Linked DNA regions of Lepisosteus oculatus. The protein of the gene in region 1 purifies or fractionates together with the protein of each later gene. This does not show direct contact. Links are inferred from orthologs where the notes say so. Each region holds a gene or a part of one and is shown in the gene's direction. Other genes may lie near its edges. The genes, in order: rac1a, iqgap3, cyfip1 and cav1.

Region 1 (7,643 bases):
GCGGTGATGGCGGCGGTCCACCACTTCAGGCCGTACCTGTTCGGGACCCGGTTCCGGCTGAGGACCGACCATGCGTCCCTCACCTGGCTGCTCCACTTTAAGGAGCCAGAGGGACAGATGGCGCGATGGATAGAGATCCTGCAGGAGTACGACTTCACTGTCGTGCACCGTGCGGGGTCTCGCCATCTCAATGCCGACGCTCTCTCGCGGCGCCCCTGCGAGGCCGCGGACTGCCATCACTGCGCCCGGCGGGAGCAGCGTGAGGAGGCTGTCCGCACCGTGGCGGGGGTGAGCGCCGCGGCCACGGCCCGGGAGGGGCCGCTGGGGGTGGGCCTGCCAGACCTGGCGCAGCGTCAGGCAGCTGATCCTGACGTGGGCCCGGTGCTCCGCTGGAGGGCAGCAGGAGTGCGGCCTACACGAGAGGAGCTCGCCCCGCACCCGAAGTCCGTCAAGGCCCTCTGCGCCCTGTGGGAGGCCTTGGAGGTAAAGGACGGGGTGCTGCGCCGGGGGTGGCGGGTACCCTCCAGTGGCGAGGTACGGTGGCAGCTGGTGGTGCCTCGGTCGCTCCGCGGGGCGGTGCTCCGAGCGGTGCACGGCCAACCGGGTGTGGGGCACTTCGGCGGTAAAAAAACCCTGCAGCGTCTCCGAGGCCATTTTTATTGGGGTCTTTGCCACCGGGACGTGGAGCGGTACTGCCGAACGTGTGCGGTGTGCGTGGCGCAGAAGGGTCCCCCCGAGCGCTCTCGGGCCCCCCTCCAACAACACCAGGTGGGGGCTCCTATGGAGCGGGTGGGAGTGGACGTTTTGGGCCCGTTTCCGCGCACCGAGGCCGGGAACCGCTACGTCTTGGTGGCTATGGATTACTTTACGAAGTGGCCGGAGGCCTACGCCCTCCCGGACCAGAGTGCCCCCACGGTGGCCGATGCACTGCTGGAGGGGATGTTTGCCAGGCTGGGGGTGCCGGAGGAGTTACACAGTGACCAGGGGCGTAACTTCGAGTCCCAGGTCTTCGCCAGAGTGTGCCAGCGCCTGGGGATTACTAAGACGCGGACCACCCCGCTGCATCCCCAGAGCGACGGGTTGGTAGAGCGGTTTAATCGGACGCTCGCCACCCAGCTGGCCACCCTGGTGTCCCGGCACCAACGGGACTGGGACCGCCACCTCCCCCTTGCGCTCTGGGCGTATCGGACCGCGGTCCAGGAATCCACCGGGTGCACCCCGGCCTCGCTCATGCTGGGCCGGGAAATGCGAACACCGGTGGACCTGGTCTTCGGCCTGCCGCCCGGAGACGGGTCGGCACCGCCGGCTGGACCGGACTACGAGTGGGACCTGCGGCAGCGGATGCAGCGGGTGCACAGCTTTGCACGGACCCACCTGACACAGGCGGGGGTCCGGCAGAAGCGGTACTACGACCTGCGCTGCAGGGGGCCTGCCTTCCAGCCCGGGGACTCGGTTTGGGTGTACAACCCGCGGCGCCGCAAAGGCCTCAGTCCTAAGCTGGCGCCGTCGTGGGAGGGGCCCGCTGAGGTACTCGGGGTGGTGGGCGAGGTCTGCTACCGTGTCCGGTTGCGAACACGGGGGAGAGTGGTGGTCCTGCACCGAGACCGCCTGGCCCCCTACCGGGCCCGGGAGGAGGAGCCGTGTGGGGAGGCTCCAGAGGAGCAGCCGGGGCCGGAGCCGGCCGATAGTGGGGCGTCCGTGGATCGCCAGCCGTCACCGCGGCGCAGCGGCCGCTCACGCAGGGTTCCGCAGCAGTTGGCCGAATACGAGTACAGCCTGAGGGGGGTGTTCGACGTCGGCGAGACGCCAGACGCTTCAGGTGGGGGCAGTGTAACGCCCTCGCCTGGTGGTGAGGAGGAAGCGCCCCTAGGCGCTCGTAGTACCGCTGGGCATGCTGGGAGTGGTAGCCGGGAAGAGTCTGAGGGTCAGCACGATGACCAGCGGCTGACCCTGCCTGTGTAAATAATGTCCTAGTAATTCTAGTACCCTGTGTAGTCCTGTAAAAGTAGAGTGTGTTGTTAGGTAATTACCACCCTAAATGTGTGTACGTGTTCGTCAGACTCCTCATGTTTGTGTAGATCCTGTGTTTGGTTTTGGTGTGGTTGTAAAATAAAGCCAGTGCTTGGTTAATCGCGTCTCCACTGTTCTTTAGTTCTGAGAAAGAACCTGCAATACGCTACAATATGTATAAAACTGACATAAAAGCAAGCAAATGAAACGAAGGCATGCATATTGGACTTGGACACTGACGTTGCTTAAAAGGGGATGAAAGCAAACTGCTTTTCTTAATCCTCGATTTCTGGGCAGATGTTCCAGAAAAGCTCTGGACATAAAACACCACATAATTACAAACTTTACATTTAAAATTGAGATGTGCCTTCACCGCATTTATTCAAAGGAGATTCGTAAATGGGTGGTGTCGATAAATGCAGCGACTGATATGTTAAAACTCTGTGTCACGATCAGAAATGCTCTTCCCTGCTATCACAGCTAAGTTCATCCGCGATTTTCTCCTACAGGGGGGAAATGTCATTTATAGCAAAGGGAAATTATTTAACACGAGCAGAAATCGCTCCGGCCGTGACGTATTCGCGTTTGTCAGAAACTACAGTATATTCTAAGACAAAAAAAAAACACTCCCGTGATGTCACTCTTACCTGTGGCGTAGGTAAGAGAGAAATCGCTCACCTGTAATCGCACATTGAACATCATTGAGGCTATGAGGTAGAGGTAGGGAAAACGGATCCTTAGCCGCCAGGCTAGATCGAAAAAGATTAATAAAGTCCTCGTCAGACCTTTGGAAAACACTCCGTAAGTCCTGCCGGCGGACCCCGGAAGCCTCAACGCCAGCTGAGACAGACCCGCCATACAAAAGACAGGGCACACACCCCTCCCGAAACAGTGTCCGTAATGTCACCAGGGCGTCTGACAGAACCCGCGACCCATCGGCGCTGTTCCTGCTGAACACGGTTCACATCTCTTCCCTCTGAAGCGCCACTCTCTCGGATATTTCGGGAATCGGTAACGCTGTGACAGAAGCGGACTGTTTCACCATTCTCGGTCAGCCGGAGCGATATAGTGAGACACACGGATGCGCAGCCTTGCGCTGACTTCCTGTGGCTCTCCGAACCATGTGTCGTCTCTAAAAATAGGCACCGCCGCGTAGTATTTTTAAACCTGGCTTATTTCGTTCTCAAAAAATACATTCATATCCCGCCGGAGTGATCAGACGAACAAGTTGAATCAGACGAACAAGTTTTGAGCGTTTCTTTATCGCTTTCTCCTGTAGAAGCGATAGTCATAGTTTAAATGTATTAGCGCAATGGGAATTAACTTGCATTAAAAACCCGTTAAAACTGAATCAGCCAATTTAACATATATGAATACGGTTAATACTTTTCAAGAACCTTTACACCATAAGATTTCTACAGTGATACGTGGGTAGATTAATTTAGAAGGAATTATTGGACAGAGGCAGGCTGCGTTATCATTTATGCGGTACTCTATTGGAAGATCGGCGTACGAAATTAACTACTGTTGCTAACCGTTGCTCACAGCGTTACCATAAACTCACTGAATGGGCCTGTCTTAGTTACAGCAGTGGAAGACCAGTGTCGGCTGAAATATAATAGGCGTATGTTTAAGAGGAAGGGGTGACAGACTGTTATTCTTTTGAAATGTGTAGTTTAAATCTCAACCATTTCAACAACGAATTTCTGAGATCTGTCTCCATACGAACTTGTTTGCCTTAAGATGAGGTCAAAGTAATAAATACAGGAAAAGCAATTGTGCGCGTCTGCCTCCCTGCATCAGATTCGGTGTCTTTTTTCAGTCTGTGAAGAAGAATTTCTGTTAGTGTTGTTGTAAACCAACATCCAGTATGGGATGAGCCCTACCTCTTGTACGAAGCGCTACTGGATCCCAGTGTGTACAGGAATATATGGGATACAGACTCTTTCGTTATTTCTTATCAATGACTCTCCCACAGATGTCAGTGGTGGCGTGTTCCCACCCAATACGCTCAGGCAGACCTTCAGACTTCAAACAGGCGGCTGATTCTCATCTCTTTTCATTTCGTGTGTGTTTTTCATGTTTCTGCACATGCAGGTCCTATATCATTTGTGTCCCCAGCTCTCAGGGGGACACTGATCAGGTCTGATGTCCATATGTTCATACAGGCAGCATTCCTTTTAAGGAACAATTTGTGTTGAGGAATTCTCTGATTAACTCGAGAGACAGCCTTCCATGCATTATTGTCAGCTTATTGCATCCAACTCATTTTCTTAGGAAAATGAAATGTTGGGGTCTCCCACTTGAAACAGCCCGTATGAGGAGAAAAACACAACAAAGATGAGACTCTCGGGATCTCGAAACTACTGAAACCGCTCAGCCTGGTGCTCCGGGCGAATCGCCTCCCACACGTGTCGGGACAAACTCCCCCCTCCTCTTGAACGCGCGCCCCCGCGCCCCCAGCTCCAAGAGCCCTCCTCGCCCCCGCGAAGAGAGCAGCGTGCGCGCCCGGCTGCCCCGCCCCGCCCCGCTTGTGGCTCTGCGCTCCCGTCGCCGAGCCGGCGGTCCTCGGGAAGCCAGGAGGCGTGCGCGCTCACGCCGCTGGAGGGCCGGCGCTCGTCCCCTGGATCCACGGGACAACAGGAGAGGCCGGAAGTGACTCGCAGGGAGCTGGGAGCTACAGTTTCTGTTGTCTAGGGCCGGAGTTTTTTTTTTCCCCGCTTAAAGCTTCAGCTCCGACTTTTTTTTTCCTTCCTTTGGGGTGGTGGCTGTTTGCTCAAGTTCCAGTCGGACGCGACACAGGGAGTCGGCGTGTTGCGTGTTGCTGTTCGCGCTTCAGTGGCGGTTTTGCGTTTGGCTTGTCTTAATTTGATCTTCTCCCCCTCCCACACACACACACTTCCAGGACCCGGTCGGGCTTGCCTCGGTGTCGTGACTGAAGTGGGGAGAAGCTTTCTGTTCGGTTTTCTCTCCTTTTTTTTCCCCCCTCTTCCTCCCTCCCTCCCTTTTTTTTGTGGGGGGGGGTTGTTTTGCTTTTGGAAAGGGGAGGAAAAGCAACTTCGCGGGAACAAAGACGGGTCTGTTCTTGCACCCGAACCGGCAGCTGACGTGACCCGGAGACGGACCGGACCGGACCGGACCGATGCAGGCCATCAAGTGTGTGGTTGTCGGGGACGGGTGAGTTTATCTGCGATGTTTGTCCTCTTCTCTCCCCCCCCGCCTCCAACTTCTCCTTGTTTGGAAAATGTTGGAAAACTCTCCCACACCCGCTCCCGACCCGTATTCCTGCTCGGTTTCTAGGCCGGGGGGCCGCGTTTTAAAGTCTCTCTCAATTATTTTGGGCTTGCCCGTGCTTTCCAGCCCTGAGCCGTGTCGGAAAGTAACCTGGCTGCTGGGAAGTTACCTATAATTAACTGGTCTTTCCCTCCGGAGCGCTCTTTGAAGCCGTGGCTTACGAGCTTATCAAACTTCCGTGGAGGCCGGCTAAAGTTTACCGAGTGGCCAAAAAAAACAAATCTTTTAACTGATCGGTGTTTTTTTTTTCTTTTGTATTGTCGAGTTCGCTCATGTCGATCCGTTTGCGATTGCGTCCGTTTTCTTCGCTTGGTTTGCGTTTTGATGATTAATCTCGTTTGCCGGTCATTTAATCTTAAATGAAAAGACGGTTCGGGCTTCATCTGGCCAGTTAAACGTTGTATCGAAGTTATGAGAACGGCGATCCGACTGTACTTGTTTACTACCGAAGGGTTTTTAAACATGCATGGCAGAAGTTGCTCTGTTTAAAATATGTTAAGTTACCGGGCGATTATAGATGGGAGCGCAATTGTATTTTGCAATTTAAAAACTACCTTTAGGGGTTTCATGCATTCCTGTTAGTGTTTCAGTAGATCAGCGTGTAATAGTTTCTGGTTGCTACTTATGGGCAAAGTATTTTTCGTCTCTACCGATAGCCGTTTTCACACTGCAGTTTGTCAGATACAGGTGACTTATGACATCGAACACGCCTTTAGAAAGAATCTTTGAAGTTTTTTCTGAAGTCTTTCGGTGTGTGTTGCATCAGTTCATGCTGTCTTTTGCTCTTGTATAAGCTCACCGTGCGGCTGCTGGTTGTTTAAGACTCTTAGTGTTAGTTGAAAGGAGGAGTTTAATGGTGGGTCGTTCGGCGTACTGGAGTTTGCAACTGGGCTAGAAGTTGTCCTGTCTGTGCTTGCAATGCATCAAAAACACAGGGACTGTGTGGTGTAGTTCTTCATGTCTTGGGATCTTCAGTCTTGAAGGTCCTGATTGCCTTTTCTGTTCCAGCCCGAGCAGTCAGTGAAGCTTATTAACTTTATCCTCGTAGCCGAGTTTGTTCTAAAGGCTTTTACAGTTTGCCCCATTTTTGACATGATTGGAGAGGCGCTTACCTGTGAAATACTTGGAGCCTGGTCGGAGCGTTAGTCACGCTGTTAATTAGATCAGCCATAGAGGTGGAGCCCTCATGCAGGGCAACAGGCAGGAGACCCTTCATGAACTGTTTCAGATCCTTGCTGTCGGCATTCCCTTTGTCTTAACCCTGAAGGCACAAGCACAGCAGCGCAAAGCAGGGCACTTTGTCATCTTGGATCAAAGCAAAAACTGTTTAAACTAACTCCAGCCGCAGGTTTTGATATTGATGGGGAGCTAAATCAGAAATCTTACCATTTTTGCCTCTCTTGATCTAGGCATGGTGTGCCCTGTGTGCAGTATAAGCACTAGAAGCCAAACATGGAAAACGGCAAGACTGTATAGATTTCTAAACTTAACCGTGTGTGGACTGCTTACAACTACAACTGTTTCAGGTCGCCTGTTGGATTTAGATAAGTTTCTATCAAAGCTGGTATGATTTGGAGTCACAAAATGGGCCCCAATGCTGGTGAGATTATACTTTCGGTAGCTCGTCAGATCACAGGCAACAACTTTCCAGAGCCTTCCTTGTATAAGGTAATTGAGTAATGCAGCTCATTGGTCTCCTTTATCTAATTGTGGCCTGTGTCTCTGATGTGGGTTTTACAGGAAATAGGTATAATAAGGGTCCCAGAGGTCAGGAATCTCCTGCCCTGCTTCAGGGGAGCCCCTGTCCACCAGTTTGTGGGTCTCCCTCAAATCACATTCTGAGGACATGGAACCATTTTGAGGCAATTTTGTTAGATTTAAGTAATTTAGAAATCATCTGAAATGGAAATTGTCAGTCTTCAAGGAACCAAGCTCTGTTAATTGAATACATTTCTTTATTTATTGCCCAGCAACTTAAAAGCATTCCCAGTGCTTAGAAACAGAGGTTTTTGGGAATACATATTTAGAGATGTATTGGACTGGGAGTGCCTGCAGTAGATTCTCTGTACCATTGGTGATTGAAGACTGGGAATGACCATTCTTCTCATCTGGATTTTCTTAGAAATATCAGACTTCTGTGTGTTTCCCAACTTGAATTTGGAGAGGCTTAATGTTTTGCAGTTTGCGTTGACATTTGGTTTGAACAGTGAGGATTTCTAAAGTACCTCCCATATTCTCACTATTGTTCCTTCTCGAGCAGTAAACTAGGTCAGGTCATTGCTGGTTGAGAGTGGTGTAGGATTTCAGAAGCATCAGTATAATAATGCCATTTGGTGGCA
Region 2 (7,770 bases), on another chromosome or scaffold:
GTCTTGAGGGGGCACCACTATGAAACGCTTTGATCGGGCTGGGTTGGGCTCGGGACAGGTGAAACGGGGCGTGTCTCTACGCGTGGGCAGGTCAGAGGAGAGCGTCCCTCTCGCCCTCGACTGAGCGCGGGAGCCATTTTTGGAGAGCCCAGCCAGCTGCCCATTCCAAATGGCATGTGTGTATAACAGAAAACAGATTCCATTCCTGAACCGCAGTATCGGAAGAGCTGGCCCTTGGAAGAGAGTGCGAGGGTGAACGAGCTGCCGTGTTTTGGCGCGGCACTCCTGCGGAGCCCTGAGAAACCCGCAACCCCTCTTCCCCCGGGGGTCCCCAAGGACGCTCACCCCGTTCCCGCTGGTCCTGGACGCTCTCGCCCAGCTCCCAGCAGCCTCGCAGCGCGGTCAGGACGTCCTCCTCGCTGAAGGCCCGGCTCCGCAGCATGTAGCTCCCGGCCTCCCGCAGCGCCACGGCGGCCGACTCCGGCCGGCCCGCCGCCCTGTAGCTCCGGCCCGCTTCCTGGAAACCCCGAGCTGCCTCCGCCCAGTCCTGCGGAGCCGGGAGAGAGCAGACGGACACGCTGGGCGGGTCTCGGAGCGATGAGCCCTCCGCGCCCGAGCGGACGGATTGTGCGGAATGGGCTCTGTGGGGTTTCTCGCGTTCTGGGCCGGCTGTGCGCTCCGAGACCGGCAGGCTGCCTCCCCTGGTCTTCACTGCGCGGTTCAGTCGTCAACGCAAATGTCCAGGATAAACACAATTCCGACTCTTACAACCCACTTGAGTGCGATATGTTTAGTGATGTGTCAGAAATGATACGTGCTGTTATGTGTTATACTGTACGTGTGCAATAGAGTGCAATGTTTTTCTTGTTTTTTGTAATAGAATAATGTGCAATGTTTTTCTTTTCTTCTCTTTTTTTTTTAGTTTGCATTCTAATTCAATGTACAGGAGTGCTGGGTGTCCATAAAAAATCCCTCAGGGGACAATAAAATGTTATCTTATCTGTTATTAAACTTCCCTGCTGCTTCTAAATCCTGCAGCCCAGGAGGCCTATTTGGCGTGACGGAGCAGGAGAGACAAGCAGGTGGTACCGGTTCCGTGCAGCAGTCCCGCGTCTTGGACCGGGACTCTGATCCTCTGACCTAAGGCGGGAGCCAGAGGTGGCACCTCACTGGCGGTGGCAGTAACTCCTCATCTCTTTTTTAAGGGCAGAGGGAAGGCAGGGAGCGATGGGGCCATTAGACCTGCTCCCCTCCGGGCCACGAAAAAGAACTAACTACACATTCGGGGCTGAAAACCAGAGAAGTACTTCTGTACGCAAAGGGTTGTGGGTGGCTGCAGCAAACTACCCAATCATGCTGTTGGGATCACTAAACGTCCCCCCACCTATGAGATCAAATTTGAGAACTCCACTTTTGGAAACCCCAACAGCTCCCATTGTCCATCAATGTACTACAGGACACCCTGGACAACCCAACGAGAGGAACCCCTCCTTGCTTGCATCCCTTGTGGGGTGCTGGTGGGGTCCAAGCTCTGACCTCACTGTGCAGGCTGCAGCCGGCGAGCTTCATCCAGGCGTCGGCCTCGCTGAGCTCCTCGCCCTCCTGCTCCCGGTACAGCCGCGCGGCCTGACCGTAGTGCTCGGCGGCCTGGCCGGCCTCCCCCAGGGCCTCGTGGGCCGCCCCCAGGTTGAAGTGCAGGTCGGCCCGCCGGGACCCCCCCTCGGCGGGCGAGCCGCGCCGCAGGAACTCCAGCCCCTTCTGTGCTTTGCCGGCTTCCACGTAGGCGGCGCCCAGGTTGAAGGCGCAGGCCCTGTGCGCGCGGCTGTCCTTGCACTGTGGGCACAAGAGAGCGGCGTCAGCCGGGCTGACCCCCTCAGGTCCATTCCTGCTGGACCACCCTGCCGCCCTGGCAGCCCCCTGGAGCTCAGCAGGTGTGAGCCTGGCCAGTACCTGGAGGGGAGACTCCTGGGAAAGCTAAGGCTGCTGCTGGAAGAGGTGCTAGTGTGGCCAGTAGGGGGCGCTCACCCTGCGGTCTGTATGGGTCCCAATGCCCCAATATAGTGACGGGGACACTAAACTGTAAACAGGCGCTGTCCTTCGGATGAGACATAAAACCGAGGTCCTAACTCTTCATGGTCGTTAAAAATCCCAGGGTGTTTCTTGAAAAGAGTAGGGGTGTTACCCTGGTGTCCTGGTCAAATTTCCCCCTGGCCTTTACCAGTCATGGCCTCCTAATAACCCCCCTCTCTGAACTGGCTTCATCACTCTGCTCTCCTCCCCACTGAGAGCTGGTGTGTGGGGAGCGGACTGGCGCATCATCCAGGTGGGGGATACACACTGGTGTGGATGGAGAAGATCCTCATTACCTGCAATGCTTTGAGTGGAGTGTCCAGAAAAGCATCATATAGTTGTGATACAGTTCTCCTGATGTCTGCCTGTTGTGTTTACTGGTTGCCTAAAAGTACTGTTATCATAACCTGCAATATTAAAATAGGCACAGCGCCCGTCTGTGGTTCTGCCCGGTTCTCCCAAAGTACTTCCATATCTGCGGTCTAAATGTCTGTATCAGGCTCCTCATGATGCACAAGGCTATGTTCCCCAAAGAGGATGTGTTTGTTGCCTGAAAGTGTGTTTGTGCCTGCTCTATTTTGTGCCTGGTGTTTTGTCACAGATGTTATCAGATGGAGGCCAAGTCTGCCCAGGTGCTGGCGGTCGAACTGCGTGAGGCTGCTGCAACCCACCCACCTGCAAGGAGGCCAGGAAAGCCTTTTTGAAGCAGGCCAGCGCCTCAGGTCTGTCGCCCCGGAGCAAGGCCTGGTGTCCAGCGGCGGTCAGCTCCTCGATCTCTGCCCGGGCCTTTGAGAGCTCAGCTCCCCCGCTACCCCTCTCTGACTGGGCCCTGCCTTTTTTCCTGTGGCCCCTGGGATCATGATCAGCTGAGGATGAGGCCTGGGGGGCCACTGTCACCTCATCTGACGCCATTAGACCAGGGCCAGGCCACGCCGCGACATCAAGGCCCAGTTACGGTGGGTCACCATCTAGCGCCGGAAACACAGAGCGACATTTCACACAAGCAGACACAAGGCACACTAACACCGACAGGGTGCTTGTAAAACCCAAACAGAGACAGTATACTGCATCTTAACATGATGTAGCCCTCCTGAGACACAGGGTTCATCTGCTTTCTGAGTAATATGGGGCACGCAACAATAGTTGGCTGTATAGAGAAAAACAGGAGGACAAATACAAGGCACAAATATTTAGCCATGTATTTCTAGCCTAGAGTATATCAGGAAGGCAGCGAGGTAAATGTAGCTCATAAGAGTTTTCTCATCAGTGTATTTTCCGGAATCATACAAACGAAAAGGCAAATCTCAGCTGTAAATTGACATTTCAGATACAGGTGGTGTTACACTGCGGTATAGTGGCGAGTGCTCTGGATTACTGACACCCTACAGGACTGCTTCTTGACCTGAACAGCAGTCTGTAGTTCTTCAGTGCTCAATATAGGCTCTCGCACCCCTTCTCAAAAATCGTTGATGCAGGTCAGTTCTTTAAACCTCAGACACTGTATTTCCTAGCTGTGGAATAAAAGGTTTCAATTTCGCAGTAAGATTAAGAAACCGCCGGAAGAATACACCTCTTTTTTACTTTTACTTGCTCGGTGACTTTGCTGCTGTGTCTTTTGTTTTTTTGCAAACCAAGCTTCTCTGGTGTGTGGAAAAGGAATCCCGCACACCGTTCTCGCTGGGGCCGTGGCCCCGCTCAGCGGCCGCCGAGCCCCGCGTCACCCGGCCAGCGCCCCCGGTCTCCAGAGACAGGGCGGGGTGTCCGCCCTCGCTGTCGGCCTGCTCTCACACTGACCCCGCGGCGCTCCTGCAGACACCGCGCTTCACAGCTTACACTGTAACTCAAGACAGCTCGGCTCTTACAGCCCAAGACTGCATTATACCAGCCTTTGATATTGTAACGCATACAGCCTCCATTGCGGTGACGTCACCGCCCTTCCCTGTGAATGGCAGGGACCGGGAGATCTCTCTATGGGTCAACAGGCTGGGTCGCTGTTGAGTGTCACCGGAGGTCCGGGTTCGAGTCCCTAACGGTGGGTATGCGCCCCGACTGGAGGCGGCAGCGGCGAGGGCGCATACCCACGTGAACCCCGTAGCGTTGCAATGTGAATTATTAAAACTATCATGTAGGGATGTAAATTTCGCGGCCGCTCCTGTCCTGTTTAGTTGCCAGGCAGAGGTGTCTTTAAAGACACTACAAGAGCTGGTAGCCAAAGAGAACAAGCTGTATTTCCTTAGTTAGGAATCGCTCTCCTGCGACGAATTGCATTACAGAACTCAGCCCATTGTACTGTACTTACAGAAGTCCTCCCATCTCTTTTCAGGTTGATTAGTAGAGAGTTTTTTTGACGTCTTTATCGAGCTCGGTTTTGCATCATTTCGCGATGCTCTGACCGCAGCCTGGGCTCCGTGTTGTTGCGCGGGTGTATCGGTTTCCGCGTGCTCGGTTTACCTCGGTTGCCCCAGCAACCAGTTCGCTCGCAAGCCCGCTAGAGCCGCCGGGCCGGGAGCAAGACGGGCGGCCACCTTGGATTATAAAACACGGTCCAAAGGGGGCAGCTTCGCAGCTCGGGTCCTGATTTCGTAAGGAAAACACGCCCTTCCGAAAGCGGTGAAAATGCGAGCCGTGTGTTCTCCAAAGTCTGATCTAGCTTCCCAGCCCAACCACAAGAAGGGGTCCCAAAAAAAGACTACATCTCCCATAATTCAAAGGCGAGGCGGTGGGCCTCCGCCCACCTGGATCCCGACCAATGGGAGCGGCGCTGTCTTATCCCGGCAGACGGCGGGATATTCAAACAGGAGGCACACGGAAAATTAACAGAACTTTGTTGTGCCAGCGATATCGCGTTTCTCTCCCGGTTTTCTCTTAAGTTATTTCTTAGAATGACTGAAGCAAAGGAATTTTCTTCCTAAAAGAGGCATATTGCGAATTAGCCAGTGAGCACCGAGTTTGTTTGTGGGGAAAAAGAGGAAACCTGTTGTTTTTTTGGCGTTGAGTGGACGCGGTACAGGCTGACAAGGAATATGGACGATTGCGAGGGACAAACGCGTTCGGCATGTAAGTCACCACGCCTGTATAACTAATAACAAGAAACATTTTTAATGTCAAAATTAGGTCAGGATTTATTCCCGTTTTTTTTTAATTACTAGATTCCGAAATTAGTTGTAAAGACGATTTCGCCTGGGGGCCGTAGAGACGGATATAAAAGTTCAGTAGGGGTCTGTGGGAGATTGTGCTGTATTGGCATAAACAATGTCATTTAAGCTGCCCTGCGCGTCCCTGACAAGCTCGGCTGTTTGAGGGGATGTTTTCGCACTGCAACGAAATATCCTTGTGAAAGCAAAGCCGTCCCAGTGTTTCACCTGCACGGCTCTCAGAGCTGGGAGAGGAATGGCGGCTGAGTCTGGAACTGGACTTCAGTGTTCAGGTCGAGCAGCGGGACCGGGCGGCCCCGGCCGGACTGCAGTGGGCCCGTCGGTGTCGGATTCGGTTCGGAGTTCCTCTCCCTGAGGCTCTGCCGCCCGCGACACAGCCCGCGCCGTCCGTGACTGGAGGTTCGGGTGGGGGGGGGTGTCGAGCGCTCTTGAAGTTCGCACCCGAGGCCAAACACCTCCACGCGTGAAGCGCTTTTACCTTCTGACAGCACCGGGGCACGACTTTGATTTCTCCCGTTTCCGGCAGACGTCGCACCTTCCCTAAAAAACAAATATATAGTGTAACGCTTACGGCCGACAGGTTCTGTGTAAGAGCCGGCGTACCAGAGCAGGTGACGTCACCGCCCTTCCCTGTGATAGCAGGACTACAGCTACTGGGCTGTAGAGAGATCTCTCTTTGGTTCACCGGGCTGGGTCCCTGTTGAGTGACCTAATGCGGCAAGGGCGCCCGCCTGAGCCCCCGTTGCGTTACAATATATATAGGAGACGATTGCAAGCGGAAGTGGCGACGCCGGTCATCACCCCCCAGGTGAAACACGCCAGGAATCTCGGAATCACGCCGGGCAGACCGGTTCGTGGGGATGGCGGTGGGCGCCGGGCGTGAGGGCCGGCTCAATGGAGGCGCGCCTGGCGGACTGCCCGCTTCCCACACGCTGCTCTCCCTGGTTTGCTGTGACACGGACACCTTGACTGGACTTCCTACAGTTATTTCCTCACTGGATGGCCTTAGCCGGGCTCCTGTCCACAGGATACAAACAATACAGTTCGGGTAGCGGCAAACACACTCCTGTTCCGAGGGGTCTGTTTAAAAGCCCCCCGAGGAACGCTTAAGATGCGAGGACGGCGTGTGTGACTGTTTTAGCTGTGCATACAGGCCGGGGGAGGTCGGTTCTGGTCCCGGTTCTGGTCTCTTCCGGGGCCACTGCTGAGGAGCTCATCTGACCGGAGTTTTGGTCTGGATCCGGGTCCGACCAGCGCCAGAACCGGACCGAGCCTCCTGCCCCGATGTCTTGCCTTTCGCGTTGAATCTCGGAGCTGGCCGTTCCTCGTTCCCACTCCAGCACAAGCTCTGTGATTTATTGATTTCAAGAATCAATAAATTCTTGAATACCCTTCAGGTCTGGCTTAGCTCATTGACTGGCGTTCCAATTTGCCGGCCCTTTCCAGGCCTCGAGTGTTGTTCTGATTAATTAAGAGACTCGCGTCGCGACAGTGTTTCCCTTTAGGCAGCGCTACTGATACAGGACAGAACATTGGGAACCCCGGGCTGAACAGATCCAGACCCTCACAGAGCAGGAAACGCGTGGCAGGTCATGAGCCGCCGGAGTCAGGCTAGCCTGTAGATCATCAATCCCAGTGCAGACTGGTCGGACGTGCTGATCCGCTGGCCAGCGTTTCGATCCTGAAGGCCCACACACACCCCTCCTGTGTTCTGCTGCAGCCCAGCTCTGTGGTCCAGTCACTCTCTTAGCTACAGCAGTGGTTGGGCTGTATCCCAGCTCCCAGGCACGTTGGGGGTCCCCCAGTCCCTATGGCAATGCAAGTCGGGGTCGGTCGGTCTGGTTCGGGTGTCCAGTTGTCACCTGCCAGGCCTGGTGTCTCATACAGTGCTCTCCCAAGTGCAGTCAGGGGACAGGGAAGAGGGTGGGGTGTAAATATAGGGGCTTCGTGTCACGATGGTGGGGGAGAATGTTTATAGGGTTGTGGTGGAGCCGCGGTGAGCCGGTCAGTTCTGGACCCGGGGGTGCTGTTTGTGTGGAGTTCGCATGTTCTCCCTGTGTTCGTGTGGGTTTCCTCGCCGCTGGCAGGCTAGCTCCTGGGAAAACAGGCCCGTGTGTGTGTGTGTGTGTGTGTGTGTGTGTGTGTGTGCGGTGAGCTGGCGTCCCGTCCAGGGCGTACCCCGCCTTCCGCCTGCTGCGGTTGTGTGGGTGGGGTGACAGGGATATGGTATGTGGGGGGTAGATGTTTTGTTGATGTCGTGTTTTCAGTGTGTGCATGAAACACAGCTGCTTTGCTGCTGGACGAAGGATCGTCCTGTCCCCCGCCCGCTGCCAGTGTTCGGGCAGCGCCTGCCCTCTGCCGACTTTCACTCGGCGTGCGTTGGTGTCTTGCAGTCGAGCGCCTGACCGCAGAGGAGATGGACGAGCGGCGCGTCCAGAGCGTGGCCTACCAGTACCTGTGCCACCTGGAGGAGGCCAAGAGGTCAGTGCCCCCTGCGTATACAGTTACCCCCACCTGGGCACGCCCCCCAGATCCCCTGGGGCTG
Region 3 (7,823 bases), on another chromosome or scaffold:
TCACTGCCGTATCACCCTGGGAAGAAAATAGGAAGAAACTAGACCATCTGAAATGCTCACCGCCCATTAGAACCATTCATCATTCACCACACTGCAAGCACAGGAGCCAACACACAGTACCTTACAGGAGAACCAGCAGTGATTGGAGAAGCAGAACATTTCCCACTGGGTTTGCTTGGGCCTGCCAAATAACAAGAGCTACAGTTTCATGGAATGCAGAGACCATGTTGACCATGTTAATGTTAACTGTGGCACAAAGACTCTTGGCCTTCATTACAGATGATTTTTGTGCTCTGATTTTCAGTAGTCTTTTGTCTAGCCTTTGGGTGTAAAGACACGCTTTAACAGCTCAGTGGTGGAATGTATGGAACACCTTAACCCCACAAAAGGGGACGTTTTTGTCAAGTAACAAACAGGAGAACAACTGATACTTAAGTTTGAGCCAGCATCTTATTGTTCCTGTTTAGGTGCAGGAGTATTAAAATACTTTCTGTATGTTTTAAACAGCAGTATATTCTTTCTGTCAGATTTTGCACAGCACAGGCTTAGAGTTTCAGCACCAAGTGGAAGAGGCTAAAGACTTGGACCAGCTGATTAAAATCCATTACAGATACCTCTCCACCATTCACGACCGCTGTCTTCTCCGAGAGAAGGTAGGTCTTGCACTCTGTTAACTCACAACTACTAAGGGACACTGAATTTCCTTGAAGTCTACTGTGCTTTTTATGAAAGAGGAGGTGTAATTCAGATGCATGTTCTCCACTTGTCCATATTGCTCTTGAACTGTACTTTTCCATATATACTGTAGGTAAACCTATGGTTGTACTGGAGTCTGTCCCGAGAAAAGCAACCTGATACACCCCTGGACTCAAAACAACATCTTTACACAGACAGGCTGAAGGAACTGAACCTTTTCAGTGTTCAAAATCCTCAAAGACCCTGACAACCTCAACCCAGCAGGTTTCTCAAGAATGAACACTGAACCACAAACTAGAGGGGACAAGTAGAAACTATATGGAAGTGTTTTTAAAAACAAGAACAGGAGGCATGTCTTTATCCAATGGGTTGTAGCATTGTAGGATAAGCTACCTATCCCAAGTAGTTTAATGAGAACTTCAATGCTATTATTATATTTGGGGTTAATAAAGAATCGGCATTGATGAGTGCATTTCAAACCAAAATGAAAGAAAAATGTATACAATAATGAGTAAAACCTCCAATTTACTTCACAAAATAGCTGAATTTTCCAGGTATGCGCATCACCATGTTCTGCGATTCAGGACAAGGCAACAAAACTTCCGGTGAACTGAAGTGACCCCTATTACTTTGTACACGAGCAGGCTTGTGAATAAATCACTTTTAGTCCAATAGAAATATTGCTCTTGACTTTGAGACGGTTTTGCTGACAAATACTACTTACTTGTTAACTCTGCATGCAGATCAGGTTGGAACATTTCTGCAGTGAAATGTCCCCGTCACAACTTGTACTCATTCACTCGTACATCGCATTACATCAGTCATTATGGTGACTAGTGAGCAAGAAGGGCCACATCACGTCACAATACTTGTGAACTCTCGCTATTACCCCTGGTGAGACCAGAGATTTGTGATAAAATGGCGACTTCCAGTACTTTCACAAAGTTCACAATTTTGTGCTTATTTTGTGCTTATGTGTAAAATTGTTCTATAACATTTAATAATTTAAATACCGGTCTTAGAAATTGGGACTGCAATTTCCCTTTAAGCCTTTTTCATACATCCTGACTTCTTTCAAGAAATGGCTGGATGAGATCCTTACATGAGTTAACTACTGACTACCGAGTGGTATCTTCTCATCTGCAACCCGTCTTATGTTGCTTTGTGTCTTATTGTATTGTGACATGTAAAACACAGAAATGGTGGACTATAGAATCCATAGTTAAATGATTGTTGGAGCAAAAGACAAACGTAGCAATGACTACAATTTTCAGAAAAAAAGTAAAATAAACTTTTTTGCTTGGCAATGCGTTTTGCAGGTTAGTTTTGTGAAGGAGGCAATAATGAAGGTGCTGAATCTCGCCCTGATGTTCTCAGATCGGTGGCAGGCAGGCTTTGGTGCCTGGAAGTAAGTATTAAAACCCTTAATGAAACGCAAGCATGTATTGGTTTGATTTCTCAGTAAATAATACCATGTTAACTGGACATTTGTCTGTGTTTTCTATAATTAAAAACACCAGGATATTCTACTGTAGGCAAGGTGGTGGTTGTCCAAGATCAAACAGTGAAAGAAGCAAATAGTTGTCAAACTTGCCGGAAATAAATGATTGAGTTTGAGTTACTGAGCTAAAATACAGATATTTATGAGGTATTTTTAGACAGGAAGTATTTTGCTCTAAGAAAGGTTTTCCAAATTATATTTAATTTAGCTTAGAAATGCATTGGAACATCAGAACCATAAGAAACTGTTTCACATTTGTTTTAAATGAGTGTGTATACAGTATATGTGTGTTTTTTCTAACGAAGCCTTTTCAGAGAAACTACAAATGTGCAGTGAAATCTTTAGTTGTTAATATAACATTGATACTTTTTTTTTCAAATTAATCTTGGAACTCTTTGCATTTCTAGGATTGAGTCTATTGATAAGATGGAGTCAGATTTCAAGAACTGTCACATGTTCTTGGTAACTATACTCAACAAAGCTGTCTGCAGGGGCTCCTTTCCACACTGTGAGTCATACAGAAAGCGAATTAAATGTTTTATTGGCAATTCAGTTTCTGCTGTTTGTAAAGAGTGAATGAGCCAAAGTTAATCAGATGTTTCACTGGTCATATTCTGCTTTGTGATTAACTGGCAAAAGTTATCAATTAAAAGTTTAAAATTGTTTTTATCTGCAATGTATGATGTCTCTGAATTAGTTTTTGTCAACTGTATTATGTGATCACTGATAATGACAGGTACAGCATCTTCTAGTCTTAAACAGAAGCAGTGTATCAGTGATTAAAACAGTTTGTACCAAAATAATTAAAAGTAATGGAAAAGGGTTTCAGCTGTAGCATTAGTTAGTTCCACTATGTGCAAGCACTAAGGGTTGTTAGAGTATCTGCTCTATCCAGCCCTGTTGCTGAAGCCCCTTCTTCCAAGACAAAAAAAGGCTGCATGAGATCTTTGGATTGATTTGCTAATAACTATCAAACAGATAGATCTCAAGGCCACCTCTTGTTTGCAACTTATTCTTTTTATTGGTAAAAGAGCTAAGAAAAGCACAGCATTGTATGATTTTTGTGTTCTCTAATTTGGTTCTTCTCACTCCTCTTTTCAGTGGAGTCCTTGGCTCTGTCTCTGATGGCTGGCTTTGAGCAGTGTTGAGGATGAGCTACAGAAAGCTGTGAAGCTCCTTGCATCGCTTTGAGCCATTACAGATCCTCAAGAATCATGGAATGTCTGCAAGGCATTCTTTCACAATGCTTATTTTTTCTTTCGTGGCCATCTGGATTTCAAACATCAAAGTGCAAGGGAAGCCCTTTCCGACAACAGGCCTCTGACTTTATTTCTGCTTAGCAAATGCAACAAGGACAGACGTTTGCTACTGTTTCTTGTGCTCTTGGGAGAAAAAAGTGCTCAGTTGCTACTGGAGTATCTTAAATACCCTTCACCTCGGGTGCTCATATTGAGACACTGAAGGCAATAAGAAAACAGGGTACTGAAAATGTAAATATAGTTTTTTGCTGTCTTTGAGATGTGCTGTTTTTGCTCATAATTCACTATTTACAAAAGTGATTGTATAGCAGAGTGAATTAGACTTTTGTTTGCACAATAAATTCTGCTCTCTTAATAAAACCTGCACTGTTTTGAAGAGTCAAATTCTTGCACCTGTTTTTGTTTTTATGACAAGAAAGAACTTTGAGTTAATCTTCCCCTCATTTATTTTTTTCTTGTTATCTGTAAAATCCAAATTGGGGGAGAGAATATGAAGGGTATCCTGTGTTTTGTTGACCATATTAGGCAGCAGCTATGTCACCCTGCAGCTCACAGATGGTCAGGACCTGGATAACGGACATCCTGGGAAAAACTAAGGTTGCTGCTGGAACAGGTATTAGAGGGGCCCGTAGGGGGCGCTCACCCTGTGGTCTGTATGGGTCCTAATGCCCCAGTATAGTGATGGGGACTCTATATTGTAAAAAGGCACCGTCCTTCGGCTGAGACGTAAAACCGAGGATCTTGACTCTCTGCTGTCATTAAAAATCCCTGGGCGTTTCTTGAAAAGAGTAGGGGTGTGTTACCCTGGGGTCCTGGCCAAATTTCCCCCTGGTCTTTACCAGTCGTGGCCTCCTAATAATCACCATCACCTTGTTCTCCTCCCCAATGTTAGCTGGTGAGTGCTCACCATATTGGTGCACTATGGTTGCTGTTGCATCATCCAGGTGAAGCTGCACATTGGTGGTGGTGGAGGGGAGACAAATTAATTTATAACAATGAATTAATAACAAATGGAACTCTGCAGTGAAGGACCTGAAGAAATGAATCATATGGTTGATAATTTCATAGTTATTACTACTCTTCATAGGGTGTGTTTTATTTAGGTTTAAAATGGGATTTGATTCATTTTTTTAAAATTCAATTTTATCCTTAAAAACCGGATTTATTTAAAGACTTTAACGATTTGCCAGTTACTTGACTTGGGCGTATACCGGCCAGCCCATTTAATCTCAGGGCTGAGGGTGGGGGGGGGTTGTTTATTCATCGCCCTCTGGTGGTTCCCTGGCATCCTGAATCCGCAGCGCCCCCAAGCGGCACGACGCTGCAAAGCGCCGCGGCGGAGGGTTTCCTGTCCCACTTCTCCCTGAGAGTCGCAGACAGGAACTCCCAGCTCGGGCTCAGAGCCGAGGTTGGTGTCAGCTGCTGCAGGGATCCTCCGCAACAGGAAGACGGCCGCCCGGACCAAGCTAAAAGTTTCCAGAGAAAGGCCGAAGCGGAGGGAGGTGGCTCTCTTACAGACGGGTTTCGCAGCGCTCCGCTCCCGCTGAATGGGATTTCTGTCCTGAGCGCTCACCATTTCCCAGGAAAACAAGACTGGGTTACGCTTAGGTAGGAAAGTTTGTGTTGTTTCGCTTTGGGTGTTGCCTCTACCCCCCACATGCTGGGCTTTTTAACTTGCGCGCTGCGTGGATTTGTAAGCGGTTTTCTGCCTACGGGCTTTGGGTCGGATTCTGTAGACTTCGTTCTGGGCTGGTGGGCTGCCTGAGCGAGCCGTGCCCCCCCCGTCCAGCCCCGGTGGCGGCAGTGGGATCCTCCCGGGCCTGACCGCTGGGTCGCACCGCTTTGGGAAACTTCGTAGAGCCGGAGCCCCGCCTAGCCTAGCCTAGCCTAGCCTGCGCTGCTCGCGGAATCGCCAGGAAAAACCGCACGTCTTCCCCGGGATTCAGCCTCGGAATTGGGTAAACTGGAAGTTCAAGCCCCCCCCCCATCTTTCGAAGTGTTTCGAAAACTTTTCTTTCCGTGCTACAGCTGAGGCTCGAAACGTCTTCGAGAGACTTGCGTCGCTCCGGCTGCTCCGTGAGCCGAGGAACTTCTAACGCGATGGCAGAGCGACTATTTTAGTGTGGCATAAAAGTTTTTGTCGTAAGTTGTAATTGATACTCATGCTAGCTGCTTTACACCGTGCCTGCGCTTCCTGGGAGACTGCAATTAGAGAGTAGCATTTAGCTGTGTGATTTCAAGTTAATCGTTTTAGTATGGTTAACGCCTTGGACATCTTGCGTTTTTTTTTTTAAATTTGAGGTCTGAAAAGTTAATATCATGGTAAAGATATAGTTTTTGGTGCCTGGGTAACTACCTTGATGGTGGTGCGCTTCCTTTCAAAAATGCAGAATTAAGATTCATAGTACACGGAGGTCACATAGAAGTTTTATATTTGATACTGTAAATATGGAGCTGGTAGCCCAAACACGGGAGAAAAACCGTCGAACTCTGTACAGTTTCATGCGTTAATTGGTTAATAGATATTTCCTACCGACTATAAAAAACATTCCAGGTGGGGGAAAAAAAACAAACGAGCCTGGTTATCTACGTGTCCCTGCAGTCGTAAGAACAGTATTGAGAAAGCACCGCTGTGCTGACTTGCTTCAGACAGCAGCCCTGTGATTTAAAACTGCAGGGGAATGTGCCCTGATGAAATCCTTTCAAGAATACAGCCCGTAATGGATTGCGAGCTGCCTGCTTTTTAACTTCGTAATGCGAATATTCAGCTCGTTTTCAGATTTTTATTCCACTTGGGTCATGAAGGGGAACTATCGGTGTAAAGTTTTCTTACACCCTTTTGTGAAAGCTGTGGCAATGCATTAATATTACTAACTTTTATATGGCACTTAAAAAGTTATTTAAGTACCTTTTTATTTTAATTTTTCCCTGGTATTGTACCGGAGAACCGTTATTTTTTATCTAATGTTTTAAGGGTGCTGTGATAGCTTTGGATACGGGTTAGATCTGTACAATGCAATTTCCTGCTCGTTGGCTAGGAGGGTGTAATAATAGTGTTTCTAGAATTTATCTAGCATTATACCACAAATGATTTGTTGGGAGTTGATTTGCACCCAAAGTGGGTAATAGAGCCTTCTCACATCTCTCAAACTCGCTGCTTTAATCCGTCACGGACTCTGTGACTGTTGAGATTTTTATATCTCATTTAAACTTTTTTTTATTAAAGTAATGGCTGTATAATTCAGTTTTACATGGTCAGTTTTTTATGTGCCTTTCTTTTTTCAAAGTTCTATTTTATGTATTAAACATATGCTGTTCTATAGCGCTCGTCAATAAATTAGTACTAATATCACAGCTTCTAGTCTTTACATAGCTTCTGTCTGTATTTATGTTTTTTTTTTTGGTCTTTTCTAAAACACTTTGAACGTCCAGGCTGTGATTTGTGTGTTGTGGTAAATTATTTGTGTGTTGCGCACAAGGTAAAGAGCAGAGTTTGTGTCTGCTTTTGTGGTGTGCAGCTGCAGATAAGCAAAGATCTAGACCTGAAGGTCTCTCCATTGTTTTAATTTTTCCTTCCTTGGGAGTTGAGTTAAATAATGGTGTTTGTCTGTGTCTATAGCTGCTCCGTACGTTCACTGCTGCACCAGTGAGAAAGAAACCCCTGTGTGTGGGTGGTTCCAGCACAGTTTACAGTGTGACAGACATTCATTCTCACCTACACGCCCACTCGTGAGTGGGGGTTCTCTCAGACCAATTTCTTCGGCAGATTCTCCTTCACTTTTTTTTTTGATTTTACGGTGCATTTGGCTTTTGAGGAGTTTCACTTTTTTTATTTCTTTTGATTTTCGTCAGTGTTTTACACGTTTGCCTGGATTTCTGATCTGCGCTGCCTTTTTGTTCCGCCGCTGAAAAGGTGTTTTGGAGGAAGAAGGTTCCAGTTTTGGACAAGGGTAATTATACCTCTCTGATAGACCCACCCTGCTGTGTGGTAATGAGGGTTTCTTTGGTGAATAGGGTACTCATTTAATGAGTGAAGAATTCCAAGCGGGCATTTTCTTCTGCTATATCAAACCTGGCTGATCTCACAAGGGGGTGAGAGGTAATTACGCTGGTTAGGTACCTGGTGGTTTAAGCTTCTAGCACAAAAGAGGAAACATTTGTTAGAACACTTGCAAAAGAGATACTGAAGGTAAATTGACCACAACATTGCAAATTGCAGCATTTGAGTTCTGATTCAAACCAAGAAAGAGCGACTCTACCCCCGTAGGTTCTTTGTATAATAGGATTATTGCAGAGAACGTTCAGTACCGCTGGCATTTCAAATCAATTGAAAAACCGAACTAGTAAAAAAAATATCTGCATTGCCT
Region 4 (7,889 bases), on another chromosome or scaffold:
ACTGGGGCTTGCTTTTAGTTTTCTTTTTTCTAAATGTGATTGTATATTTGGTTTTGCTAGTGTAATAATCTAAGAGTTGACCGTAAGGCCTAAAAAGTAACATAAGAGGAAAATGTAATCAAACTTTCTCTCTAAACGCACCTTGCTAGAATTCAAGCTCAGAAAGTATTTTAGGCAACATGGTTAACAGAACATCTCCTAATATCAACCAAAAAATTGAGCTGGATCTGAAAACATGGTTGAAGGTCACTCGTTTCTACATTCTAAAGAAAGCAATATGAAAATATTAAAAATGACTATTAGTTTTAAAGGATTTACACTTTCCCACATCACTTAGTTTTAAACTAAAGACACCCTTCTCAGTTTAATCTCATGTTCAGTCTTAATATTTTAAGAATGTCCTCTTTTGGTTTCTTGATTTGCAATGGAACCACATGAAAGAAGTTGCTAATTAATAAACAATTAATAATCAATAAACAATTGTGCCAAGCAACATCTACTGTACTGACAAAAGAGAGCTCCCTTAAAAAGAAGTGTGAATACAGCCTGTATCAAGGGGTTTTTATTTGCTCTGACTTACAGTACAGAGAATAAAAAAATAAGTCTGTAACTAACCCGAGTAATTAAAAAACCCACTACTCACATATTGCAGGTCACAGAAACCTCATATTTACCCCTTACAGCTAAGTCCAAAAGAAGCAGTAGAAATAAGTTTATTTTTTTCTATTTATATCATTACATTATTATATTCTTTAAAAAATAATAATGGAGATTATAGGGAAACATTGTGAGCATATTGATAGTTTTACATGCTGTAACGTAACAGGGCACATAAAGTTTGTGTAACCAAAAAGAACTATTTCATTTTGTGTTTCTCAGATTAAATTTAATATTTCAGATTCTATTACATGTGTGATTCTGTACATTTGTCTTGGAAGGGTACTGAAAAAGAAGGCAAAGGAGGTTTTACTGTTATCTTCTTCTGTGTAATTGTATTAGACATACGGTAGTTATTTATGCTAATTTTAAAATTATGTAGCCAATTATATACTTTTAAATGATTTGAAAAAAACTGTATACCTTTTCTTTTGCCTCAGATGTATATAATAAAGCTAAAGCACATTTTTAATTGAGAAAATAATATCCACAAGATTATTATATTTTACAAATAAATTATTCATTTAAATATCTCTTAATGTGCATTGCTGTTTTTTTCCTCAACTGAAACATACTGGAGGATATTACATTGTGTTATTTTAAAATAAAAAAAATGGAAAAGAAATGACAAACCTTGAGAAAGGTTTTGATTAATAATTATCTATACAATTTATATTTTTGGTTAGGTGCATTTTTTTCCGGTGCTTCATAATAATTCCTCACTAGACTAAACACTTCTTATCCACTTCCTTAGGCTTTAACTGAAAGTAATGTTTAAAAGAAACAATTTAGTTTACCATTGTAGAAATATGGTTTGGTTGATCAAGGATTCTCGATTTTGATTAATGAAGAGATATTTCTGGAGGAATGACATTCACAATCATCCTTAGATGTATAATATTCACTCTGTCAGCTAACATTGCTTTGTTTTGTATTAATGCAGAATATCAGGCTGACAAGGTGCCTTATCTCTTGAGTTCATTAAAGGAAGTGAGTTCCTTCTTTTCAACTGTCTCAATCGCACAATCTATATATCTTCTGTATATGAATAACCTTGTTAGAGAATAAGAACTGGCTTACACATTAGTGTAAATGCAAAAGCACTGGCCCGAACATACAGCCACTCCAGTACCTGAAGGTTATTCTTATTTCAGTGTTGGGTGGGAAGAACTTGCTGGCCAGCCAAGTACAGTTGTGGTTCCCTTCAATCTGCAGTCCTGATTCCCCATGGTAGTGAAGGATCATTCCAAAATTAAAGAGGATAGAGAAGTACAAACAAAAGCACAGGTACAGATGCACAACATGAAAGAACAGATTCCACCCATCTCATAAGGATTGCTTCATGAGTCCCAAACATTCCTTTGGCTTTACTTGCTACCACCTCATTATAAAGAGTACAGCGCACAAGTTTACTACTGTCTTTCTGGGGGAAGGGGAATGAGATGTTGCTTTTAACAGGGCAAAGGCATATGATTTGGTTGAGACATGATAAAACATTGCTCTCCAATTGGTCTCACAGTTGCTGTGTTGTAAGTGCTATACTTGCCTTCTCTTGATGGCCTAGAGGGTATTGCCATCATCCTGTCAGAGCGCAGAAATCTTGAAAGGGCCAATTGGACTGCACTTCAGAAAACTCTGCCATCATTTGAATATAAAGATCACTGCCCCAGTTGCAAAGCAACTAGGCAACAACGTGCACCCATATCTTTCAGTACTGGGGTACAAGGCACTTGTTTAAAGTACCTTCCTTGTCCCCAGACCCAAAGGTATCTGCAAAAAGTGATGTATAATTATGCTTATTCTTTTTTTGCACTGCAACAGGCTTACATAATATGTTCTTATCACAGATCCATCATGTTTATGCTTTATTTATGCTTCTTAGATCCACAAATATACACACAATAATTAATAACTAGAAAAGGGGTTGCTTAGCACGGAGGAAGGTTGAACACAGTACAATGGCCTGAAGAAAGCAAACCCTTATTATTAATGACTGATATATCTGAAACAAAAACTCTCCTTCACTCTTGTATATACAGTGCCAGCAGAAGTATTCAGATGTTTGCACAGTGTTCATATTTTGTTGCAATCAGGACACTTTGACACAGCAATTAAAACTTTCTTATGTACACGACTTACATCCAAAGCAAAAAACAAACAAAAAAAATAAGTAAATAGAAGTTATGATTGTATAAGTATTCCAGCATTTTGTGCTGGGAAACCTAAATTAATCTGGGCACACGAAATTAGTTTAGAGGCCCATATTTCCATGCGATAATAGTGGTTCACATAATTTTAGAGTAAACCCACCTCTCTGTGAAGTATCTCAAATTCCAAGAACATATTCCACTATGAAGACCATGGAGCTTTTCAAAATAACTCATGGATAAAGTTGTAGAAAGACACAGATCAGGAGAAGAATATAAAAACATTTCAGAGACCTTTAAAATCTCTTTGAACATGCTGGAGTCAATCGTTAAGAAGTGGAAGACATTCAGACACTGCCTAGATGAGGTTGTCCCTCCAAACGAAGCAGCTGGGCAAGGACAAGTGGTTAGAAATGTAACTGTGTGGCCAATGGTGACTTTGAAAGAGCTAACAAGCTCAACTGAAGTCAATGATATTCAAGTCACACTCTAGGTGGGGGTAAACAACAAAGCACTCAAGTCTAAGCTCTAAATGCAAAGCTTTAGATCTGATGTGTAAGGAATCCCCAATGAAGAGGTATGCAGATCCTATGCAGATGCAGGAGCAGGTAGATATCGAGACATGCATACAACCTGGAACGTCAGGCGAGAATGCGGTCGAAAGGCGAAAGATAATATAGAGGCAAACAATCCAAATCAGAAGGCGAGGTTCAAGGTCGAGAGGCAAAAGGGTAGTTCAGAATCCTGGAGACGTATAGTAAGCAAGGTTGAAATAACTGTGAGGTGGAGCTCTCTACGAGAAGACTCCATACCGAGCAGCTGGATGCGGGTTTGGATGGTATAAATAGTGCTGCCTGTCCCACAGTAGAGCGTGTGCTGATGTATTAACACGTGCAGCGGCGCTTCTTATTATTATTAACCCGCTGCTGGTATTGGTAAGGTCTCTTATGAGTTGAGCTCCGCTGGCTGGCGGGCGTGACATGATGCAAACCCAACATATTGCATCACTCAGTCAAGCACAGTGGTGGCAGCATTATGTTATAGTTCTGCTTCTCATCGGCAGGGACTGGAAAGCTTATCAAGACTCAAGGTAATGTACAGTAGATGGAGACAAATATTACCTCAGACCACACTGGAAAATGTGCTTTAAACCATAAACTGGGGCAAAAATTCACATTTTAGTAGTACCATAATCCAAACAACAAAGCCAAAGCTACACTATATTGGTTTGAGAAACCCCAAAGTCCTGACTTGAATCCTATTGAGAACTGCTGTCCATAAGTGACCAACCACCTTGAACTAAATGCCAAGAATAATGGGCAGGAATTGGGCAAAGCTGGTGTGCTGCCAATGAGTTTCCACCAAATTGAAACTACAAAAAGATAATTTTAATCTAAATTTGCTCACAAATGCATAGGGGTTCTTTTCATAGGTCTTGTTTCAATTCTAATTTAAACAAATGTGAAATGAAGCTCCTGGGGATTCATTATACCCATAGTTGTGTAATGATGAGAACTGAATAAGAATGGGAACATTTTAATACAATTTTCTACTGCTATCGGTAAAGACGGAAACAGGCCTGGTTTATATCACATAACCCATAACCAATAAAACACACTGTAGGCTTCTGGTTGCAAGTCCCTGCACAGTGAGATTAATAAAGGCAAGGAGACATTTAAACAAGGTTTAAGGTGTCCCAGCCAGTGGAACTAATCTCTGGGAATGTAAACAGACTGGACCGTCAACATCGGTTGCGACCATCAGACCAGAGGCAGGTGTGTTAACTCGTTCACCGAGTTTGGAAAGCATTAACGAACATTTCTGTTCCCCACAGGGCTGCGCGATTCTTAATTATACAGTATTACAGTTCTGTCGGATCCTGCTCCAGTTATTTTCAGTTCTCTTGAGTGACAGGCTAATGGATGGTTGCAGTTTCTGGCACATTAAAAGTAGGGGGGGGGAAACACTTCTGCATCTGTGCGTCTCGGTTGGTTTGCTGCAGAGACAGGATGCTCGGTGCAGCTTTTAACTGTCCGGCTAATCATTGACCGTACTTCGCGAGCCTCCTGTCAATACAGTACGTTAAAACATGTAAGGATTTGATGTCATCCTGACTAACACAGCACAAACCCTGGAGTCCCGCCAGTACCATCAAACCCCACGCCTATTCTGCTCTCTTGCTTCCTTCAAAAAGTTATTGTATTGCCGAGAAATCCTAATCTGATCACATTTCAGGTTCAGGACAGTATGACTGGTGGTATCAAGGACGAGGAATCAGAGGTACGCTGTGTTAAAGCGAGCTTTCGGGACTGCACTGCGTTTAAGACGTTTGTTGAAGGGTTATAGCTTTCAATTTAAAGTGACCGATTCAAACTGTTTACATACACTGTGTACACATATCGCTAAATACTTGCTTCTTAACAGGTCTCTATGTCATCTTGTATTGACATCTTTGCGCTTATGACAAGTTATTTATTTTTGGTCGAAATAGCTATCTTATAAACGCATAATTTCTTAATTGTAACGTTTTATTCATTTTAGACGTTGACGTACTAAACTGCATCAGAAGTAGTCTATTTTTGTCTATTTTCTGACACGGCAAACCTTTGATCTGTTTTTTCTGACACGGTCTGGTATTTTTATGCTTCAAGGCAACTGCCGTTAATTTTGATATTGCATTCAGAAATCTATGCATTAACGTAACTGGTCTTGTGCTTTCTTTTTATCTTAAAAATGATCATGCCTATTACCCATATAGGTGAGCTCCTGTAAGACCTGTTTGTTCACTGTTCTGAAAATCAGCTGCAGTTGTTTTAATTTTTAATGTTGTTTTTTTTTTGTATACTTGGGTGGTAGATGTTTTTTTTCTGCCATTAAATCATACCGTTTTTCAAAAGACGATCTATTTTGGATTTTCTTTTCTTTTTTTGGGAGTTTGATCTGGAGTCAAAGTGTTTGTAGATGACCCCTTGTGGTGAGTGCGAGACTCGTAGTTCAGAGGGGTGTGGTGCTATATTTTATGCACTTAAACCCATCCCAGGCTGAGACGCGCTGCAAACTCATTGCTCTTCTGCAAGTTGTCCGCTTTTGATTTGATTTTTTTGATTCAGTTTTATTTTTCTTCTCCATCGGGATTATAGGGATTTCTTCACTCGCCATTCATTAGGAAGCAAGGAAATATCTACAAGCCGAACAACAAGAGCATGGATAACGACAGTATGAACGAAAAAGCGATGCACGATGTTCACACTAAAGAAATCGACCTGGTTAACCGGGATCCCAAACACTTAAACGACGATGTGGTGAAGGTACGTGGGTGCGCATGTTACATCCCCGTTAAAGATTTGAAATATTAACTGAGAAACAGGGTTTGTACAGTATGTGTGGCGAACAGGTGTTTATGTTTTAACGTTTTAATGGTCACGGTACTTGGTACATATGCACTTGTAGAAAGGGAAATGTGACGTTTCAGTATAGTAATAAGAAAAGTTTAAGACAACTTTCATCGAAGTTCTGATATGTTCCATATCTTTGAACTTGTGAAAGATTGTGTTTCTTTCTTGTTGGTATGTGAATTTTTACGTGCTGCATCTACTAGAGGTCCTGAGGTCCTTTATCCTTGGAATTTCGACGGCTTTTAAAGTTCTATCGAGTGCCCATAAATTAATAAAACAATACATTAAAAAACCCTATGTGATGTCCCTATAATTATATATATATATTAATTATATATATATGCCTATATCCTGCGAGGAGAAACACAGTTTTTGAATTATTTTATCTTTAATGGAGTCAATGCAATCCCTTTGGTATGTCACTGACTTGTCACTGAAACATTATTTAGAAGGAGAAAATAAATCATCCGTGAGCTGACGAACGATCCAACACTCAAACGTACAGTAAATGAGCGCAGCAAGCAGCCGTACATACTGTAGTCGACTCCGAAATCGGACTTTTCAAACCGACCCTGCTTGCACCGTGAGCAAACGTTTTCTAAAGTGTACATCCTGCACGTTGAAGGAATGTCATACTGCGAAAATAAACGACTGAAGATTTGGAGTGGTTTGTTTTCTATCATATTCTGTCGTAGACTAAAGTTGAATTAAAAATATGTATTTATTTCACTACACTTCAAGCAGAATGGTGTTCATTTGTGTTGTATGTTGAAGAACGGGAATTCTTTGAAAATACTCAGTGGTGTTCTGTATTCTTGCTTTGACATTGGTTGGTGCCCAGTATTTTGTTGACGGAATGGTTAAATTTAGTGCAGTTTTCCAGTGAAGGGTACTTATTTTAAGAAATTGAATGTGTATTTGACTTTTAAATGGAGATGCCAGTTTTACTGTTTTGAACATGCAAATACTCCTTTGCGTGCATACTCCTTAAATGTCTCTCGCGCACGTATTCATTTCTTGTCAATTGCATTTTTTAAAATCAGAAAACACATTTATTAATTGAATAAAGACAAAGACAAATTACAAGTTATTAGCACTGCTGTCTTGCAGTGCCTTGACCCTGGGTTCACTTTCGACCTTGGAGTGCTATTTGGTGGAGTTTGTATGTTCTTCCTGTATTCCCATATGGGTTTCCTCTGAGTGCTTTGGTTTCCACCCACAGTCCAAAAAATATAGTGCGAGGTTAATTGGCTTCTTGTAAAAAAATTGGCCCTGGTGCAAGTGTGTGCTTGAGTGTCTGTGTGTCTGCACTTTGATGGACTGGCATCCCGTCCAGAGTGAACTGTGCCTTGTGCCTCTTGCTTGCCAACATAGTCTCCTGCTCCCCTATGACCCTGAATTGGAAGAAGAGAATAGATGGATCGATGAAATCCAAAAGTAAGAAACGGCACCTGTAGAATGCCTCGGGCTCACCACGGTTGAATAATTCAAAATAATTACATTTCAGAACTCCAAATCCTCCTTTCAGGTGAATGATTTGAGTTTTAGGACTAGAAAAACAAATAATGAAACATCCGGGACTTAAAGTAAGGTAAATATTTAACACCTGTGCTGAAGCCTAAGACTGTTTTATGGTGGATCCCATAGAGGCTAGGATGTTACTGGAAATAATTGAGCAATCTGCTGTTTT

Evidence for each region.
Region 2: the proteins of rac1a (region 1) and iqgap3 purify together in Homo sapiens (affinity purification with mass spectrometry; 3 studies listed by BioGRID and IntAct, with this or other methods). This does not show direct contact. The link is inferred for Lepisosteus oculatus from reciprocal best matches to the Homo sapiens genes RAC1 and IQGAP3.
Region 3: the proteins of rac1a (region 1) and cyfip1 purify together in Homo sapiens (pull-down; 3 studies listed by BioGRID and IntAct, with this or other methods). This does not show direct contact. The link is inferred for Lepisosteus oculatus from reciprocal best matches to the Homo sapiens genes RAC1 and CYFIP1.
Region 4: the proteins of rac1a (region 1) and cav1 purify together in Homo sapiens (affinity purification with western blotting; 4 studies listed by BioGRID and IntAct, with this or other methods). This does not show direct contact. The link is inferred for Lepisosteus oculatus from reciprocal best matches to the Homo sapiens genes RAC1 and CAV1.

Annotation. Positions count from the first base shown.
Region 1 is NC_090714.1:16,726,476-16,734,118, reverse strand, and holds the start of rac1a (ras-related C3 botulinum toxin substrate 1), read left to right. Parts: upstream 1-4,633; 5' UTR 4,634-5,152; coding exon 5,153-5,187; intron 5,188-7,643. UniProt on the Homo sapiens protein: Plasma membrane-associated small GTPase which cycles between active GTP-bound and inactive GDP-bound states.
Region 2 is NC_090722.1:3,450,424-3,458,193, forward strand, and holds the start of iqgap3 (ras GTPase-activating-like protein IQGAP3), read left to right. Parts: upstream 1-4,770; 5' UTR 4,771-5,093; coding exon 5,094-5,127; intron 5,128-7,618; coding exon 7,619-7,706; intron 7,707-7,770. Other genes in the region: tetratricopeptide repeat protein 24-like, read right to left, coding at 346-547, 1,537-1,833, 2,746-2,982.
Region 3 is NC_090710.1:22,086,463-22,094,285, forward strand, and holds the start of cyfip1 (cytoplasmic FMR1-interacting protein 1 homolog), read left to right. Parts: upstream 1-4,817; 5' UTR 4,818-5,064; intron 5,065-7,823. Other genes in the region: tubgcp5 (gamma-tubulin complex component 5), read left to right, coding at 528-653, 2,016-2,104, 2,605-2,705, 3,299-3,345. UniProt on the Homo sapiens protein: Component of the CYFIP1-EIF4E-FMR1 complex which binds to the mRNA cap and mediates translational repression. In the CYFIP1-EIF4E-FMR1 complex this subunit is an adapter between EIF4E and FMR1.
Region 4 is NC_090702.1:45,225,446-45,233,334, forward strand, and holds the start of cav1 (caveolin-1), read left to right. Parts: upstream 1-4,879; 5' UTR 4,880-5,051; coding exon 5,052-5,084; intron 5,085-5,944; coding exon 5,945-6,112; intron 6,113-7,889. UniProt on the Homo sapiens protein: May act as a scaffolding protein within caveolar membranes. Forms a stable heterooligomeric complex with CAV2 that targets to lipid rafts and drives caveolae formation. Mediates the recruitment of CAVIN proteins (CAVIN1/2/3/4) to the caveolae.